Linked DNA regions of Arabidopsis thaliana. The protein of the gene in region 2 purifies or fractionates together with the protein of the main gene of each other region. This does not show direct contact. Each region holds a gene or a part of one and is shown on either strand. Other genes may lie near its edges.

Region 1 (4,842 bases), on a different chromosome or scaffold from region 2:
AAAGAACTGAAACAGAAAAATTACAGTAAGAAACCTGTAGACATACGAAACTAATTAGTTGTAAGATATGAAAGCTCAAATATCTTCAGCTTTTGACATGACGAGCCAAGATGTAATAAGATTTAACTGTCCTAAGCAATACAGATTACAATCCAACTAGAGACAAAGTTGAGATCTTTGAGGAAACTATGGTTCATGATCAACTCCTATGTGATGAACTTTCTTTGATCTTGCCTAGGAACCAAATTTAGAGATCATGGTCAAAGATTCATCTGAATATTAAACCAAGTAACAAAAAACAGGCAAAATAAATTATTATGTCAAAAGTGATAAAATAAGGCAAACCTCTGGAACATGGAAGAAAGATAGCAACTCCAAAGAACAAGACATAACCTAAAGATCTTGTAAGAGAGAAGCTAAGAGAAGATTTGTACCTGTTAGAGATTGCCCATAAAAAAAAATAAACCGTAGCTTCCTTCAGATCCTACAAACCTAAAAGAAATCATTATCACAGGCTCACAGCGATCCAAGTTTGCTTATTTGCATCAATTAAAGTTTAAAAAACAAAAAAAACTGTAAAATTAAGAAGTCGAAGAGAAGCTAAATCAATCAATGAATGATTCAGAATCTTAAGAAGAAGAAGATGGGTTTTGATGATAGAAACGCTTTGAAACAATAAAATCCAATAATTTAATTCAAAGATTTTAAATTTAAGGAGAAAGAAGAATAAAAGAAACGGATGGGAAAAAAGAAAGAATGAAATGAATGATGGAAAGGTGAGAAATCAGCAGAGGACAGGACACAGTTGTGAAGGAGTGGGAGGAGTTGGGTGGCAAAGTCGAGATATTAAAAACAAAACAAAAACTTGAAAAATAGACTCGAAAATAATACTAACATTTTTTTTTTGGGAGATGATGATAACAAGAATAGTAATAGTAACCGGTGGCGGTGGTATTGGTTCTGCTGATTTCCCCGTGAGTTGTGCCTTCTCTCTGGTGTGACGCCATTTTACTCTACTTTTCTCCATTTTCCCTCTGTCCTTTTTCTCCTTTTCTATTTTTTTCTTCCTGACCAGTTCAATTCTTCTTCTTCTTTTTTTAAATAAAGAAGAGTTCAAACTTTTAAAATGGGCAACACTAATTTGTTTGCTAATTTACGATAGGGACCCAATGTATGGTCGTCCGGTTTAGTCTTTTTGTTTTTTATTAGACTAAACTAAATTTGAAATCACATGTGGTTTGTTATTTATCTACTTTCGTGTTTGAGTTGATTGGAACTAGTTTTGGTTTTAGTTTTGTTTAGTTTCTTGGCTCATTCTTCTGGTTATCTTGGTATGCTATAATAAAAAAAATACTGGAGTGAGAACCTTCACCATTATGGGTTTGAACTGCCATAACTAAATTTGGAGAATATGATTATTCAGATCGGGTTTGTTTAGAAATCGACATTTCTACTTATATTTGGAAAAGTTATATAGTAGAAAATCAAACAAAATGTCGAATGTTATATTTCTCGTTTCATGATTTTCTATATATCTCATTTGTTTAATTATAAGACAGATTGTTTAGTTCGTTCTTTTCGTTTACTGTTTTCTCAAATTTGTTTTGTAGATTTTTTTTCCATATTCGGCGACCAATCATATAATTATCTTTTAACTAATATGTGGTTAATTAAAAAATAAAAAAATGTCGATTTGGTTCGGACTTAAGATTAGAATTTCGGTTTGGTGGTAACGAAAATTTTAAAAGTCAGAAATCAACCAAACTCCGGTTGGACGGTTCAGCCGCTTCGGTTCGGACTTAAGCCATGCCGCTATTAGAAAAATGGATGTTTTTTTTTCTAGTATTCACACGTGTCCATAAACCCTAATTTTCCAGTTTTATGAAATTGAAGAACGAAATTGAAGTGAAAAGTGAAATCGTGCAATTTTCATCTTCCTCTTCTCCTTAAACCCTGATTTCGGATTCTCACAATCGAACTTGGCTGCAGAGAAGGATGGGGACTAACGAAGTAACAAGGATTGTGACTGATGAAGAAAAGAGAGAAGCGAAGAACTTCAACATATTTGATCTCCCTGACGTTCCTACCGGACTTCCTCCGCATCTTGAGCTCCAGCGAACTCGCGTTGTCTGTAAGAAGGATTCTAATATTCATGTAAGTACTATTCTCGATCAAAATTTACACTCTTTTTAAGCTATGTATAAGTTCAGCTAACTAGAAATTTATTGGCTTTTCTCAGTGTGTCCCATGTGGGTTTGCTATGTTCATCGATTTCGTGTAGATTTACAGAGTAAAGTTTAAAACTTGCTTGTAGAAAGCTGTGAATTTACTGAGTTTGGTCTTAGCAATTTAAGAAGATTACACTGTGGGTTTGTCGAAATCCGAATGATATTGAGTGATGATTGTTTGAAATTTGAAGTCTTTAATGTTCTTCCCTTTCTTTTTGTGTTTTATTGTAGCCTACGGCTATCACTTTCTCGGGTGCCTATTCCTCTATGGGAGTGGACAACAGTGTGAGACTAGAAAACTTCTCTGAGGATTTCAAAGTTGATGTGATTAGTCTCACAGAGACAGATATGGTATTCGATATGATCGGTGTCCATGCAGGAATCGCTAATGCTTTCCGAAGAATCCTCTTAGCTGAGGTCTGCCCACTGTCTCACTACCTCTGATGAATCTCTGATTATTAGAATCTTTGGTTAATAGTGTTTCTTTGATTACAGCTTCCTTCAATGGCTATTGAAAAAGTGTATGTAGCAAACAACACATCGGTTATTCAAGACGAAGTTCTTGCTCACAGGTTGGGTCTTATTCCAATTGCCGCAGATCCGAGACTCTTTGAATATTTATCTGGTAAGAAATATTCTGTGGAATGTGATCCATCTCATTAAGCATATAAACTCTTTGTGTCACGCTTAGTTTTGTTGTTGTTTATCTTTGTGTCATAGAAAACGATCAGCCAAATGAAAAGAACACCATTGTTTTCAAACTCCATGTGAAATGTCTAAAAGGTGACCCGCGTCGTAAAGGTAATATATGTTCTTTGGTTTGCTCAAGAAGAGTCTTTGTTTTATTGTTAGCTCGAGATCTCATGAGAGGTATCATTTTTTTATTTCTTGAAGTCTTAACAAGCGAATTGAAATGGTTACCAAATGGAAGTGAGCTTATCAAAGAATCTGGAGGTTCAACCACAACGCCAAAAACTTACACTTCATTCAACCATAGCCAAGATTCCTTCCCTGAATTTGCTGAAAATCCTATCAGGCCAACCTTAAAAGATATCTTGATAGCAAAACTTGGCCCTGGCCAGGTACTGTTTCTATTTATACTCTTCCCCTTAATTGTGACATTTTTGAGGACTTAATTCCGTTGAGAGATGAAAGACTTGCATCTTCTTCTTGCAGGAAATCGAGCTTGAGGCTCATGCCGTTAAGGGCATTGGTAAAACACATGCAAAGTGGTCCCCAGTAGCAACGGCTTGGTATCGAATGCTTCCTGAGGTGAGAAGTTCACCATAAGCCTTCTGGGAAAAGGACTTAATTAATTTCTTCTTGACTCGTCCTAGGCTTTTCCGGTAATGCTTTTTGTTTATAATATCTTAGGTGGTTCTACTAAAGGAATTCGAGGGTAAACATGCCGAAGAACTCGTAAAAGTCTGCCCCAAGAAAGTTTTTGACATTGAAGACATGGGCCAAGGTGAAGTAAAAGCCTTCCCAAGTTTCCTTCAAATGTCTTTACTTGCTTTTGAGTAACAATAAGAGATTCTGATGAAACCTGAGAACTTTGGCGGCAAATTAATTTGACTTGCAAACGTGGAAAACAGGTAGGAAGAGGGCAACAGTAGCTCGGCCGCGTGATTGTTCGTTGTGTAGAGAATGCATAAGAGATGGAGTGGAATGGGAGGACCAAGTGGATCTGCGCCGTGTCAAGAACCATTTTATATGTAAGAAAAGAAAAAGAAAAACACAGTTCCTTCAACCTGGCAATTCCATGGTACTGAAAGAGATTCTAATTGAGTTTCTTATCATCTTTCGCAGTTACAATTGAGTCCACGGGATCACAGCCTCCGGAGGTTCTTTTCAACGAAGCAGTGAAGATATTGGAAGATAAATGTGAAAGAGTAATCTCTGAACTCTCCTGAAAAGAGATTAAATTGGTTTAGCTCTACCGGCTTGGTTCCGGTTTAGTTCAGTTTTGGGTTTTGTATCGAAGTTAATACAAAGAACATTGAAATTTATATATACTTGGTTTCGGCTCGGTTCAAATTTAGAATATACATGTGAACGTTGAAGAGTAGATGGATGTACGTACGTACACATTCATCAAGCACTGAACAGAGTGAAGAAACAACAGAACAGATCAATTTTTACAACAACGAAACAAACAAACACTAACGACAACACAGATATTCACGAAAGTCTTGTTGTGGCCGATAAATTTGCTGCCATGCTAGAAACCAACCGAACATATTAACCGAAAAAACTGTAAATGACATATAAATAGCCACGAAACTCTATCAGCACATACATTATGCACTGGCCGTCTTTTTTTTAGAATCATCCTTCTCATTATAAATCAAAGAAACACAAATTAATAATTAATCACGTATTCAAACTACAAAAATATAATAACACAGAAAAATATCAAGAAGTTTCAATTACATTGTTTTTGTTTTCTCAAAAAACAATGGCTGCACACAAAAAGAGTCATATCCGCATTTTCTTTGTTTCAGTAATGATTATATTATCATTGTTCAGCGGATTTGGAGAAGGACAAACATATATAAACTATAATGGTATGAAAGGAGACATAATTCCAGGTTGCAGCAGTAAGAATCCCAAA
Region 2 (4,652 bases):
CTAAACACCATCTCGAATCCCCAAAGTTTTCCGAGAACACAATGACTGAAATTTTCGATACTTCAATTGCTTTTAACGACTCTTCATACCTCTCGTCAGCTGGTAGTTCGTCATACAAGAAGGTTTTGATCCGTTTCCTACGTAGACAGCCACAGAGATGGCTTACGAAGTTGTCACGAGTGTCTTTGCTCCTGAAACTTATGAACACATCGTGTTTCATTTTAGGACTTGAATTCATTTCCTTATTTTTGTCATACCACTTTCCTTTCTTCTGTTTTCATCTTTATAGTTCTTTATAACTTTCTTTGCAATTTCCTAGAAATTATTATCTTTACTAAAGTACAAAAACACACGACTTCAATCCTCTTTTTCTATTGCAATTTTGAAACTTTCTTCGTAGTTTCTTGGAAGTGTATGTATTTTATATTTGATTCAGACAGCCTGTCGACAAATATCGACAGCTACTTATGTTGACTTTAAATATCTCCAAGCTTCAGAAATAAGTTCAAACAATAATGTAAAATAACCCACATAAGCTTAGACTTGGAAATTGGACTATATATTCGTAACCGCAAAGTAAAAATGATGGAAATTTCAAATGAATAAATCTATGAGGTTGTTCTGAAGAAAGCAAACTAATAAATTGCTAATTTGGAAGCAGATTAATAATGGGCAAACGATTTTATATGATCAGAAAAAAAAATCTAAGCAGAGAGTGAAAACAGAAAAACGGAGAAAAAGAGAGCAAACTCGAAAAAAGAGATTGAAACCAGTCGTTGTGCATCATTCACATGTAAAGACCTTCAGGAACTCCTTCTTTCTTCTTGAACATAACCTTCTCCTTCGCCTTCTTGAAGTCCACATGCGTCACCTAAACCAATAGAAGACCAAACAAAGGTTAAAGTAAAATTATTCAAAGATTGCGTTCGATGAATCAAGTGGTGAGAAGCCAGAGAATCCTTACTTTCATCCGACGCTCTCTAAGAGCAAGCAGACCAGCTTCTGTGCATATTGCCTTTATATCAGCTCCTGAGAACTCGTCTTTTGTCATTACAAACTCTTCTAAGTTCACATCTTCAGCCAAAGTCATCTTTGATGTGTGTATCTAATAATGGCATGCAATTAAAAACCGATCAGATCTTTCTAGAAAATTCACAAAAAAAGAAAGAAAACTTAAGGATCACCAGTTGTGGAACCTGGAAGATACGTCTTCTTGTTTTGATATCTGGAAGAGGGAATTCGATTTTCCTGTCGATCCGGCCTGGTCTAAGAAGTGCCGGGTCAAGACTCTCGATCCTGTTTGTCGCGAGAATAACCTTAACATCTCCTCTTGAATCAAACCCATCAAGCTGGTTCAGTAGTTCCAACATGGTTCTTTGGATTTCACGTTCCCCACCTGAGTTTGCGTCATACCTGTTTCAACCACCATTTTATATCACATATTAGATACCATCTCTTGAGCAAAATCAAGAACATTGTTTATCAATGGATCATGTTTATGTTGTATTTAGGCATACCGCTTGGTGCCAACAGCATCAATCTCGTCTATGAAAACAATAGAAGGAGAAAGGTCATCAGCAACCCTGAAAAGTTCCCTCACAAGCTTGGGACCATCTCCTAAATACTTCTGAATCAGTTCACTACCGACAACACGCAAGAAAGTAGCTGAAGTAGAATTTGCCACTGCCTGAAAGAATAACAAGAAATAACACTTGCTCATCTCCAACAGTTCCGAATTTAACAAGCATAAGAGACACATTAAAAAGAGGCACACTGCAACAATCCATGCTTGCGACATAGACAAAAAGAAAACGAAGACATTAAATCAATCCACGTGACTCTGAAAATCTTCCTCTATCTACACAAGTACTATGATCTAATATCTCAATTCTAGGTGATCAAACCAAAGAAGCCACTGTCCTGACTAATTCATCTTTCTAGTGAAGATTGATAAAAGACAGAAAATTTTGCATGCATGACTTGACATAAAACCAATCATACTTGGGAAGTACCATTATGTGCTGTATTAAGCAATTAACAACTAGAAAGCTTATTATATAATGGATACACTATAGGCTAAAAGACGAACCTTAGCAAGCAATGTCTTCCCAGTGCCTGGCTCACCATACAAGATCACACCTTTTGGTGGCTTAATTCCAATATCTTCATACAGCTCGGGATGTGTTAAAGGTAACTCAACAGCTTCCTTAATCTCCTGAATCTGAGCTTCTAAACCTCCAATGTCAGCATATGACTCCAAAGGAGCCTTCTCCACTTTCATCACAGACACCATTGGATCCACTTCATCTTGAAGAATCCCAACAACAGAGAGTACCTATCACAAAAATAATAAAAAATATCACATAGAAGAATTGGTTCAACGTTTCCATGGAAGAGCATTGTAAAACTCAATACCTTGTTATGCATCAAAATAGAGCAGCCAGGTTCAAGCTGATCCTTATCAACGAAAGACAAAATGCCAACGTAGTACTCAGGACCAACCGAAGAAGAAACAATGGCGTGATTCTCATCAATAAGCTCTTCAAGATTGCCAACACTCATAGGTGTACCACGAAGATCATCAACTTTAGATCTATCTTCCTCAGCTTTCTCTTCCTGAGGTTTCAATCTCTCCTGATTCGCTACGAACTCTTCCTCCATAAGCAAATAGTCCTTGATTCGCTCCAATTTCAGCAATCGAAGCTTACATTTAGTAGAAGGAGTCACCGTCGGCAATCTCGCCGCCGCTTCAGGTCCTTTCTGCTTCCGTTGCTTCCTCCCTACACGAGCAGGTGGTGCGGCTGGTTCGAACTTCTTCTCCTTCTTCTCTCCACCATCTGGTTTCCGATCTCCTTGCCGATTCAATCCGCCGGAAGGTCCTTGACCCATTGTGCTTCGTCTCTCTGAGGTTTCTTGCTCTCGGAGAAACAAATCTTTTAATCTGATAACGGGAGGAGATGATTAAAGTGGGCTTATTATTTTAGGCCTTTTTACGATGTGAAAAACTTAGTGGGCCTTAGGTATCGCAAATTTTTTTAAAACTGATTCAACCTAAGCTATTATCTGGTTTAGTTCAATAACTCGGTTTAATTATCTTTAATTTCGGTTTAAGTTTTGTAAAAGTCAATTCGTTGGTTTGGTAGTTGGTACGGTCAATCGGTACAGGTAAGGAACTTTTCTTTTGCCATTTGGGGAAATCGAATCAAAAATCAATTTCATCGTCTTCTCTATCTGTCATTCATCATCATCACAATCATCATCATCAAATCTCAGGATCTTCGAGGTGGTTCTTCTGTTTCGCAACTAGCTTCTAGATTGTGATTTACAATCTTCGAACTCTCGGTGAGTTTCTAGGTTTAGGGTTTTATCTCTCTTTACACGACAATTGTTATGGCCAATCGAGAAAGAGATCGAGAGCTTCTGATTCCCGTCGCTGATTTCGGCGACAAAGACGATGGTTCTTCTTCGAAGCCTTCTTCTTCTTCCTCTGCTTCTTCTTCGCATCAATCCGGCCACGAGGTCTAGTTTTTGTCACCTGATCTAAAAACGTGTTCTTCGTTTTCTCATTTCAAGATTCATGCGAAACTAACAGTAGAATTGGATGATAGTTATTCATAGATTTGGTCGATTCTGTCTCCCCTTAGTTCAAAATCTTGGAACTTGTTTTGCCCTAGATTCAGTATATCACAAGAACACTTGCTTAGATAAGTTTGGTAGTTGTGATTGAGTAGAGTATGAATTTGCATTCCAAGTTGTTGTGGTTGGAATCATTCAGATTCTTGAGTCTTTGTATTATGCTCATTCATGTTTTCAAGCATGTATAACTTATAGAGCATTGTGGCCTGATGCTTTAGCTCTTTTCTGCAGACTTTAAGCTTGTTCATTAGGGGTTGGGCGTCAAAGAAGTTCATGACAGGCTGGTAAGGAAGAGTTGAAATTTTGGCATTTGATGAAAACTTCCACAGATTAGTTTTAAGTCTCCATTGCTTTTTGCAGTGTTATCCTACTTCCTATTGCAGTTACTTTCTATACAACATGGTGGTTTATTCACTTTGTCGATGGATTCTTCTCTCCAATATATGCACTACTTGGAATCAACATATTTGGTAAGAATTTGAATGGCCCCTCTTTATCCTATTAACAACTTGATATCGGTTTCCCACAATGAGTTTGATTATTGTTTTGTAGGTTTCGGTTTTTTGACTTCCATTGCATTCATCTTCTTGGTTGGGGTGTTCATGTCTTCGTGGTTGGGGGCATCGGTTCTGAACTTGGGAGAGTGGTTTATCAAGCGGATGCCATTTGTTCGTCACATCTACAACGCCTCCAAGCAAATCAGCACTGCCATATCGCCTGGTCTAGCTTGCTTATAAAAATCTTGTTTTGCTTCTCAACATTAAGTTGATCTCCTATCTCATCTTGTTCTTATCCATTTCTCATCACAGATCAAAATACACAAGCTTTCAAGGAAGTTGCAATCATCAGGCATCCCCGTGTAGGTGAATATGCATTTGGCTTCATTACATCAACTGTTGTTCTCCAGGTGAGTGAAAATACTTTGCTCAAGGATTTTGTTATTCTTTCCAGAACGTCTCCTTGAGGATACAAACAATTTCGAGTTATATGGTTTACCATAATTTCGTAATCTTTTT
Region 3 (4,110 bases), on a different chromosome or scaffold from region 2:
TAAAACCACCTACTCCAAAACCTCCCACCGTGAAACCCCATCCTAAACCACCAACCGTCAAACCCCATCCTAAACCACCAACCGTCAAACCCCACCCTAAGCCACCCACCGTCAAACCACCCCACCCTAAACCACCCACCAAACCTCACCCCCACCCAAAACCTCCCATCGTAAAGCCACCAACCAAGCCTCCTCCGTCCACCCCTAAACCTCCCACCAAACCTCCCCCGTCCACACCTAAACCTCCCACGACCAAGCCTCCTCCGTCTACTCCGAAACCACCCCACCACAAGCCTCCGCCTACACCATGCCCACCACCAACACCAACGCCGACTCCACCAGTTGTAACACCGCCAACACCAACCCCACCCGTCATAACTCCACCAACACCAACCCCACCCGTCGTAACACCGCCAACGCCAACTCCACCCGTCATTACACCACCAACACCAACTCCACCCGTCATTACACCACCAACACCAACACCACCCGTCGTGACACCTCCAACACCAACACCACCCGTAGTAACACCACCAACACCAACTCCTCCTACGCCTATTCCAGAGACTTGCCCAATTGACACGCTGAAGCTAGGCGCTTGTGTGGACGTTCTTGGAGGTTTGATTCACATCGGACTTGGAAAAAGCCACGCCAAGGCAGAATGTTGTCCGGTTTTAGGAGGTTTACTTGACCTAGACGCAGCCGTTTGTCTATGTACCACCATTAAGCTCAAACTTCTCAACATCGACCTTGTTCTCCCCATTGCTCTTGAGCTTCTTCTCGACTGTGGAAAAACTCCACCATCTGACTTCAAATGTCCCGCTTAATCGATGTAGAACGTTGAGAGTCTCTGGACGACTCCAAAAGTTTCGTTTCTTCAAGAAATTTGTTAGTTTCATGATCTATTTGGTAATGGGAGGTTAATCTGCATATGTGCGACCTTTAGTTACATGTTTCATTTGATACAATAAAAGGCGTTGTAATTTGGGTTTGAGATTTCAATTTCTTTGGGCTTTCTTGTTATGTTGTACTTTTAAGAAGAAGAAAAAAAAACTGTTAAACGATATAACTTTTTTTTTAATATGAACAAGTTTGTATCTGTCTAATTTGTTTTTATGTACATACGTACGTTTTGGAGTAGAAAAAATGTGATTTTTGTAGCCATGGCCCATGCGCATTGCACTGATGCATATGCGCCTCACAGCGCAGCTACTGACCAAGAACATGTGTATAAATTTAGTTATACTGTATACACGTATACTCTTGCTAAAAAAAAATTATCTATCACATTTTTTTTTGTCCAAACATTTGATAAAAAAGATATATGATAAGATTACAAAATTTTGATTTGTTTATGAAGATTTCAAGAAAATAAGTAAGCCCCTAATATTTTAGAGTGTGTTATTAGTTATCTTGTTAGTGACAATTGTTTATCATACATTACAAGAGATATATCTATGTATTTTCTTATACAAATAACATACATTGTGTGTTACTACGTACCAGGGATTTAACAAAACATTTAGTTTGTAAATACTACATTTTTACTTTTCTTTTAACATCGTGAATATATATAACATTACATTCTTATTATGATTTATGAAATAGGTGCACATTTAAATGTTTTTTCTAAAAGGGATATTCTTACTGATATGTGTATATAAATACATCCACGTAAAATGAATCTAGCTTTTTTTTTTGTCAGAAATGAATCTAGTTTATATTTCTATACACATATCAGTAAAAAAAAAAAAAAAAAAAAAAAATCAGCATATGACAACAAAAATTAAGATATATCAGAGATTCCGAGTTATGGATCTTGCATTGGGCTTGATTATATAATTTGGGCCTTTTCTTATCCATAAATTACACTTTTGGGCCTAATCTGTAAAGCACAAAAAAAAAACACCTTTTTTTTTTCTTTTCTTTCTGGCTTGTCGAACAGTTCACATCTCAGAGCTCATAAATTTTGTGGAGAGCAAAGTTCTCAGCAAAATCAAAGAAGAACCGAACGAGAGAGAGAAACGAATTCTTCTCAGGTATTCTCTTAAATCCAATGTCTTTCATTCTCCTACTTGTTCCTAGAATTTTCAGAATCTGTGTATCTTCCTTTCCTGTTTAATTTTGCTGGATCTGTCTTGAGCGAAGTGTTTTCTTATGAAATCTTCAAACTTTTGATAGAATTTTATAAACCCTAGCTAGATTCGATTCTGGGTGATGTTTAGTTTTTAGGTGTTTTTATATGGGCATCAGTGATTGTTGAATTATCTTTCGATTTTTCTCTTCGCTCCTGTGATTGTGACTTTAGGTTTGTGTTGATCTCAAAGTAACATAGATTTATAAAGCTAGTTCATTTCCTTTCTATTGAAGAAACTTGACCTAGTTTTAGTCTAGTTTTTAATCTGAATCAATTGTGTTTGTTGATCGTTGTGATGTCGAAAACCCTAGTTTTCGTGTTTTCGGAACTTGCCCTGTGTCTAATGGAGTATGAATTAGTTGTGTAGACCAATGCATTTGTTGTGGTGCAGGTGTTAAAGAATGTCTCGGAGATATGATAGCCGTACCACAATCTTCTCGCCAGAAGGTCGTCTTTACCAGGTAGAGTATGCTATGGAGGCCATTGGAAACGCCGGTTCTGCGATTGGAATCTTATCCAAAGACGGTGTTGTGTTGATCGGTGAGAAGAAAGTCACCTCAAAGCTTCTTCAAACCTCAACCTCTGCTGAGAAAATGTACAAGATTGATGACCATGTTGCCTGTGCTGTTGCTGGTATAATGTCTGATGCTAACATACTTATCAACACGGCTCGAGTTCAAGCTCAACGTTACACCTTCATGTACCAAGAGCCCATGCCGGTTGAGCAGCTGGTTCAATCTCTTTGTGACACAAAACAAGGATACACACAGTTTGGTGGTCTTCGCCCGTTTGGTGTCTCCTTTCTCTTTGCAGGATGGGACAAGCACCATGGTTTCCAGCTTTATATGAGTGACCCGAGTGGGAACTATGGTGGTTGGAAAGCTGCAGCTGTTGGAGCAAACAATCAGGCGGCTCAGTCTATCCTGAAACAAGACTACAAGGACGATGCAACCAGGGAAGAAGCAGTCGAGCTTGCCTTGAAGGTTCTGACCAAGACAATGGACAGCACTAGCTTAACATCTGAGAAGCTAGAGCTTGCTGAAGTGTATCTGACTCCATCCAAGACTGTTAAGTACCATGTTCACTCACCTGAGTCGCTCACCAAACTGTTGGTCAAGCACGGTGTGACTCAACCCGCTGCTGAAACATCTTAAGCCCAAAAGTATCTCTAGTCTTATTCGCCTGGTACGGTGTCTCCGCTTTATGTTTGTAGTTCTCTGTTTTACAGCTTTCCTTTTGGTTTGAACTTTGAAGTTACCTTTGGCGATGAAACTAGATTTGACAATGTTATGAATTTATCTTCAATGCATCATCTTTTTACTAATGTCGATCAAAGGAACAGATATATTTTATTCTTATCTCTTTAGATTAGTCTGAATTTCTTCAATTCATGACTTGAATACTAAGCATTCTACTTGTCGCGCAAAGTTTTACACGTAACGGCCTCGTCAAAAAGAACTGTTTTATCTTCTAAGTAAACGCAATTACACGTTGAGAATCTTGGAATCACAAAAGAGTAACGTTTAAGGAAGAATAGAATCAAAATTCTAGATTTTTGTTTTGCATTCTTGGTATTAATCTCACAAGAAAATTTTATAGATTTAAGTTTGTATCATCTCCATAAAAACGAATTTATCTTTACTTTTCATTACGCACAACTTTGTGACAAAGAAAACAACACAAGAAAAGATAAATACTCTGAAACATAAGAACCAAATGGTAACTATAATTGACTCCTTATGCTCTCTATCACTCTATGTACAAATATGATCGTAAGCTTACAGCTTCACTAATCAAGAACAGAGCTTAGGAAGTGATCTATTACTTCCTTTGCTCGAGCTCTTGGATCTCTTCTTGATAACTTCCATTTGATTCTGCATTTTCAAACAAGCTCTCTCCAATTCCATTACCCTCCATTGAATCCCTTCGATATGTTCCTTCAGCTTCTCGTTTTCTCCTGAAGTCTCAACCTT
Region 4 (4,765 bases), on a different chromosome or scaffold from region 2:
TGTTAGTTCTGCCGCTTTTTATTGTGGCGGGTTGAATTTGATAAAAAGCTCAAAAGTGACCGAAGAGTTTAGACACGTGACATGATGTGGATGGTTCATAATCAAAATGATTAGACGCATGAATTTACGAGCATCGATAATGATTGCCCAAGTAGAACCTTTATATGCTTTGCCCACACAGGTAGTATATGAATACCCACCGAGATTAGTTAGGTCGGCAGGATTGGGTTTATATTCGTGTAACGACCACATCTATTGCACATGCCACGTTTTATATGAAATCATCAAAACGCTTATGCGTATGGATTTTGCCTCTCTGGCTCGATCTAACGCCACAAACAGAACAGGACATGCAAAATCATTCACAATGTCAGATGGCAGCATCAGGATCATCATCATAATAGTTTGATTCGTTTCTATTTGCAGTTACTAGTGATCACCTTCCAAATTACATTGATTTCATAGTTATTGTATGATTTCGTTAGCCAAACCATGTTTATTGATAGTTGACCAAAATATTTCGTTGACATGTTAACGTCTTTCTAAAGTCACCCATAGTGAATCGAACATGAACACTAAGAAGACAAACAACAAAACGTGTCACTGATCAGTACCAACCTTGAAAACTAAAGACTGCGACAAACCAGAAATCTGGAACACTTGGTACGAAATTAAAACAGAAACAACAAGGTACATAGAATGATCGAGTACTGGAACAAGATAACAACTGCTATTTCTTCATTTTCATTGAACTCTATCAATAGCAAATAAAACATCCGAGAGAACGAACCACAATATCCAGTTTCAGAGAAGGAACATAGTTACTATGGGACGAGAGCTTCTACATAACCGGGTTAAGGAGTATACCGAACTTGGACAAAAGCAGATATGTGATATCAGATCAATCCATCCTTCCCTTCAGGATTCTCTCCTTCACCTCCTTTGGTGTTCTGGACAACATGACCATGAAAGAATGTTACTATCTTATATAATACATATCCTTAGAAGATAAGTGCACATGAGGTATATTCTGTAAGAAGCCAGATGTGACAGAAAAAAAGAAGAAGAAGAAGAAGAAGAAGATGAGGAGAACAAAACTTACACAACGTAGACATGTCCTCCCCACCCACTAAGACAATCGCGGTCAACTGAAGAGAGAAGTGCTTGTGAAATTGTCTCGAATAGTTCCTCAGCTTCCTGAAACTCAAATTTGTTAAGTCTAGTTATATGCTTTTCATTTCATCACGAGTCTGTTTACAATGCACTTCTTAGAATGATGACCTTGAAATTCAAACTTTATCGAAGCAGTACTATGGCAGGGAAGTAATCGCAATATTGAAACATCTTAATCCTAAGCCAAATTAAAATATACAGAGAAAATTATTGGAGTTACGTCATATATCACCAGCACTATGCACACAAATATTCCTACCAGATCAAGATTCTACAATAGAATACTTACATATGAATGATCCTACCAAATTTTCAGGTGATAAACACACATTTGAGTATCCAGTGAATCGGTACAAAAACAAGTTTTCAGAAGGCACATACCATATCTGGTTTGAACATGGCTTCACAGGCACCATATAGAGATTCTGAAGCAGTTCCCGAGACAACAAAATCTTTAGCTAACTCCCTGCATTTAGAGAGAACAAGCGTCAAGGCATGCTCACCATTGCAACTATCATGTTCGGTAAAATCTCAACTATATTAAGAATCATATTTAAATCAGCTCAACACATGTAAAATAAGTTCACTCATATGACATGCATACACTGCATTGGATGACAAAAGACCAAAATTAGATTCCAACTAAAACCAAAATATCAATCCACGATCATTTTCTAGCTGACCTAGCAAGTTTCACGATTACAGTCACTGACTAAGTAAATTAAATGGCATTACAGACGAAAAATGAGATATAACGTCTTAAGTAATGAAGAAAGCGAGCATACTTGGCTCCAATAGAATCCATAGTGCAAATGAAGGGTTTGTTATCATCTCCCAATCCAGCAATCACAGGTTGGCACAAGAATGGGCCAAATCTGAAATAAAGAATTTGGTACTTAGTAGTGGCAATGCCACATTAATCATAAGAAATCAGATTGTTAAGAGGAAACTAGAAACTAATAACAAATTGAGAGAAGAAGACATTTCACCAACCTTTTCTCATAAAGAATAGCCGATACAAGACTAGCGAAAGTTTCAGGCTTCATGTCTCTTTCTTCCCTAAGCTGATATAACTTATGACGAAATACGAGTCGCTGGTACCTTCAGTACCAAAGACAAAACAAAAAAAAACGGAGCCCTAAATTTTGTAATTCACCTAAAATTCTCTGAGGAAAGGAGTAAACATATACGAGAGCTTACAATGTCTGGACATCGGTGGCGAGACCGGAAAGTCCGATGAAGAGATGATCGTGGATCTTAGATATTCTCTGAAAATCGGTAGCAATGGTTTGTAATTGCACACCAAGCCTCCGATCACTAGCTATAGCGAAGCAATTCTTCCCTACCATAGCTACGACGGCACTTCCATTGTACTCGAAGATCTGAATCACCACAATGTCCACCGATTTTATCGTTCAATTCATACTATCAATCTTTGCGCAGAACAAACAAAAGTTAGAAATTGAAAAAAAGAATTCGGCAAGGAACACTTACCGACATCGGAAAATTAGGGTTTACTGAGTGAAGCTTCGGGAGTTTTCCTATCGGAGAAGAAATCTGAGCAAGAGAAGAACAATTATTAAAGTCGACGATGGCTTGGACGAAACTCTAGACAATTTTTTATTTTTTTTGGTTCTTATTGATGGGCCTCGATATTATTGGGCTTTCAGATGACTTTTATGTCTTTATTTTTTCTTGCTCTGCTTTTACTTTTTTACTACGAGATAAATTTTGCTTTGGTCATAAAAGTTGGGGAAACGTTTTTGTGCAGGCATGTCCTCAAACTCTACTTATTTGGTCACTGTCGCCGACATTATGCACTGCGACCTGCTCATGGTATTAGAAGTGATGGTTCGGTACATGGTTCACCAAGGGACTCGTTCACACGCCCCTATTCGCTGCAATGTTAGCTGAGTGCATTGTCGTGCAATGCATACCGGTCTTGTTTTCACCCAAAACCATGGTACATTTGGTATCTTCGGAAGTAATTACTTGGTGTTCACAGAGTTTTTCGGAGCTCCTGCTATGCAACTTTTCATATGTACGGTTTCCTCTGTCTGTGCTTTAGACCGGGCCTGTCCATTGACAAAATAACACTCAAATAGAACACAAGATTTCAAGGATCTGTCAGAGCAATATGGTTCAAATGAGATCAGTCATCAATTTGATTCTGAGCCTGACTTATGTGCACCCAAACAATACTAACTACACTTCGAAAGATGCGGCTGATGTAGCACTAGAAGCACTAGCTAAGCAAACAACGGCTAAGGTTGTGTATTCATTGTAAGCCACATATCTATTTTTTCTTCTTATCCGGATGTTTAATCACAGAGACTCGACAGTATTCAGAAGACAATAATAAGTATAGGTTTGTGGAGAGATGATCTCACTTTACTTGGGATCAACGCGGGCATCGAGCCAAGCAACGATGTCATTGATTACAGTGAAAATATTTTCGTCTGTATCACCTTCTAGAATGCAATGGTAGCCACCTGGATAGAGTTTTAGAGTCTTGTCTTGGCTGACTGCATGTTTGTGAAGGAATTTACTCACAGTGGGATCTGTGACTTTATCAGTGTCTCCATGAAGTATCAACAGTGGCAACGAGACCTGCAACATAGAAAAGAAAGATCTCGTTTTTTGCCCCTGTCTATGATGAGAAGAGCTTTCCTTTATTTCTTTGGTTCTACAACTAACCTTGTCAACTTGCATCTCAATGTCTCTTGTTGCATTTAGAAGTTCAACAGCAGTTTTGAGACGTGTTTGATCATCGTAGCATATCACATCGTACTCACACTTTATCCACAGAGAACAAAAACATCAAAGACAAAGTTAGCAAAAATGCTTCAGAAAATGTACCATTGAAAAACTAAGAGAAAGTACCAATTTTCTTTTACTCAGGTCCCTGAAGAAGAAGTCGCTCAAGTCTCTCTTTGGAAAGAGCTTTGCTTTGGGAAATAGTGTCGACATCAAGATTAACGTCTTCAAGACTAGTGGAGGAGGTTTTACATCTTCTGAAATCTTGAGACAACCCAAGGTCAGGTATTTCAAACATGAACTAACTAGATGTAAAATGTGAATACAGATACTTCCAAGCACTGAAAATCTTATTTGCAGATTTGAGAAACAAATCTCCAGACCTCAATTACATGCATAGAAAATGATATAGTTAGAGACTTACCTTACACATTGGAGCGACAAGGATAAGACCATCCCAAGCTTGAGGTTCTTTAAGATGAATTTTTAAGGCAACTGCTCCTCCCATTGACTGTCCCAGCAAAAACCGGGGCAAATTTCTCAATTCCGATCTCCCTAGGAATCAAACCACTTAAATAAAACCCAAAAGCAAGATTCAACACCAAAAAGCAATAACAGGTACAATTTAGATATACCTTTCATTTTGGTGAACTGTTCAATAGCATTGTCTGCTAAGTCATCAAAACTTGGAATGTGACCATGTAAACCATCTGATAAACCAAAACCAGGATGGTCTATAGCATAAACCCCATAACCAAAACCTGCTATTTGCTTTGCTATACCTGTAAAACAACCCAATTTTTTTCCCACATATATTAAAAGAAGAGCCTTTCAA

What was found.
Region 1: the proteins of RPT2b (region 2) and RPAC43 fractionate together in Arabidopsis thaliana (co-fractionation; one large-scale study listed by BioGRID). This does not show direct contact.
Region 3: the proteins of RPT2b (region 2) and PAC1 fractionate together in Arabidopsis thaliana (co-fractionation; one large-scale study listed by BioGRID). This does not show direct contact.
Region 4: the proteins of RPT2b (region 2) and PBC2 fractionate together in Arabidopsis thaliana (co-fractionation; one large-scale study listed by BioGRID). This does not show direct contact.

The regions. Positions count from the first base shown.
Region 1 is NC_003070.9:22,329,230-22,334,071, forward strand, and holds RPAC43 (RNA polymerase I subunit 43), read left to right. Parts: upstream 1-1,664; 5' UTR 1,665-1,995; coding exon 1,996-2,154; intron 2,155-2,239; exon of another isoform or gene 2,240-2,365; intron 2,366-2,459; coding exon 2,460-2,645; intron 2,646-2,723; coding exon 2,724-2,853; intron 2,854-2,948; coding exon 2,949-3,029; intron 3,030-3,122; coding exon 3,123-3,310; intron 3,311-3,404; coding exon 3,405-3,500; intron 3,501-3,602; coding exon 3,603-3,696; intron 3,697-3,823; coding exon 3,824-3,943; intron 3,944-4,037; coding exon 4,038-4,141; 3' UTR 4,142-4,339; downstream 4,340-4,842. Other genes in the region: RALFL6 (RALF-like 6), read left to right, coding at 4,687-4,842.
Region 2 is NC_003071.7:8,690,973-8,695,624, reverse strand, and holds RPT2b (AAA-type ATPase family protein), read right to left. Parts: upstream 3,059-4,652; 5' UTR 2,890-3,058; coding exon 2,416-2,889; intron 2,336-2,415; coding exon 2,090-2,335; intron 1,688-2,089; coding exon 1,518-1,687; intron 1,414-1,517; coding exon 1,197-1,413; intron 1,106-1,196; coding exon 965-1,105; intron 872-964; coding exon 788-871; 3' UTR 514-787; downstream 1-513. Other genes in the region: AT2G20142 (Toll-Interleukin-Resistance (TIR) domain family protein), read right to left, coding at 1-238; LCV1 (uncharacterized protein), read left to right, coding at 3,391-3,519, 3,868-3,920, 3,997-4,106, 4,189-4,356, 4,446-4,543. UniProt on the Arabidopsis thaliana protein: The 26S protease is involved in the ATP-dependent degradation of ubiquitinated proteins. The regulatory (or ATPase) complex confers ATP dependency and substrate specificity to the 26S complex. Acts redundantly with RPT2A in the regulation of gametogenesis.
Region 3 is NC_003074.8:7,792,000-7,796,109, reverse strand, and holds PAC1 (20S proteasome alpha subunit C1), read left to right. Parts: upstream 1-1,847; 5' UTR 1,848-2,039; intron 2,040-2,528; 5' UTR 2,529-2,538; coding exon 2,539-3,291; 3' UTR 3,292-3,561; downstream 3,562-4,110. Other genes in the region: CWLP (cell wall-plasma membrane linker protein), read left to right, coding at 1-827; AT3G22104 (Phototropic-responsive NPH3 family protein), read right to left, coding at 3,931-4,110. UniProt on the Arabidopsis thaliana protein: The proteasome is a multicatalytic proteinase complex which is characterized by its ability to cleave peptides with Arg, Phe, Tyr, Leu, and Glu adjacent to the leaving group at neutral or slightly basic pH.
Region 4 is NC_003070.9:29,094,242-29,099,006, reverse strand, and holds PBC2 (20S proteasome beta subunit C2), read right to left. Parts: upstream 2,988-4,765; coding exon 2,982-2,987; intron 2,807-2,981; exon of another isoform or gene 2,674-2,806; coding exon of another isoform or gene 2,668-2,673; intron 2,556-2,667; coding exon 2,374-2,555; intron 2,275-2,373; coding exon 2,167-2,274; intron 2,049-2,166; coding exon 1,959-2,048; intron 1,640-1,958; coding exon 1,555-1,639; intron 1,198-1,554; coding exon 1,103-1,197; intron 951-1,102; coding exon 902-950; 3' UTR 557-901; downstream 1-556. Other genes in the region: AT1G77420 (alpha/beta-Hydrolases superfamily protein), read right to left, coding at 3,565-3,783, 3,871-3,969, 4,057-4,194, 4,355-4,485, 4,566-4,712. UniProt on the Arabidopsis thaliana protein: Non-catalytic component of the proteasome, a multicatalytic proteinase complex which is characterized by its ability to cleave peptides with Arg, Phe, Tyr, Leu, and Glu adjacent to the leaving group at neutral or slightly basic pH.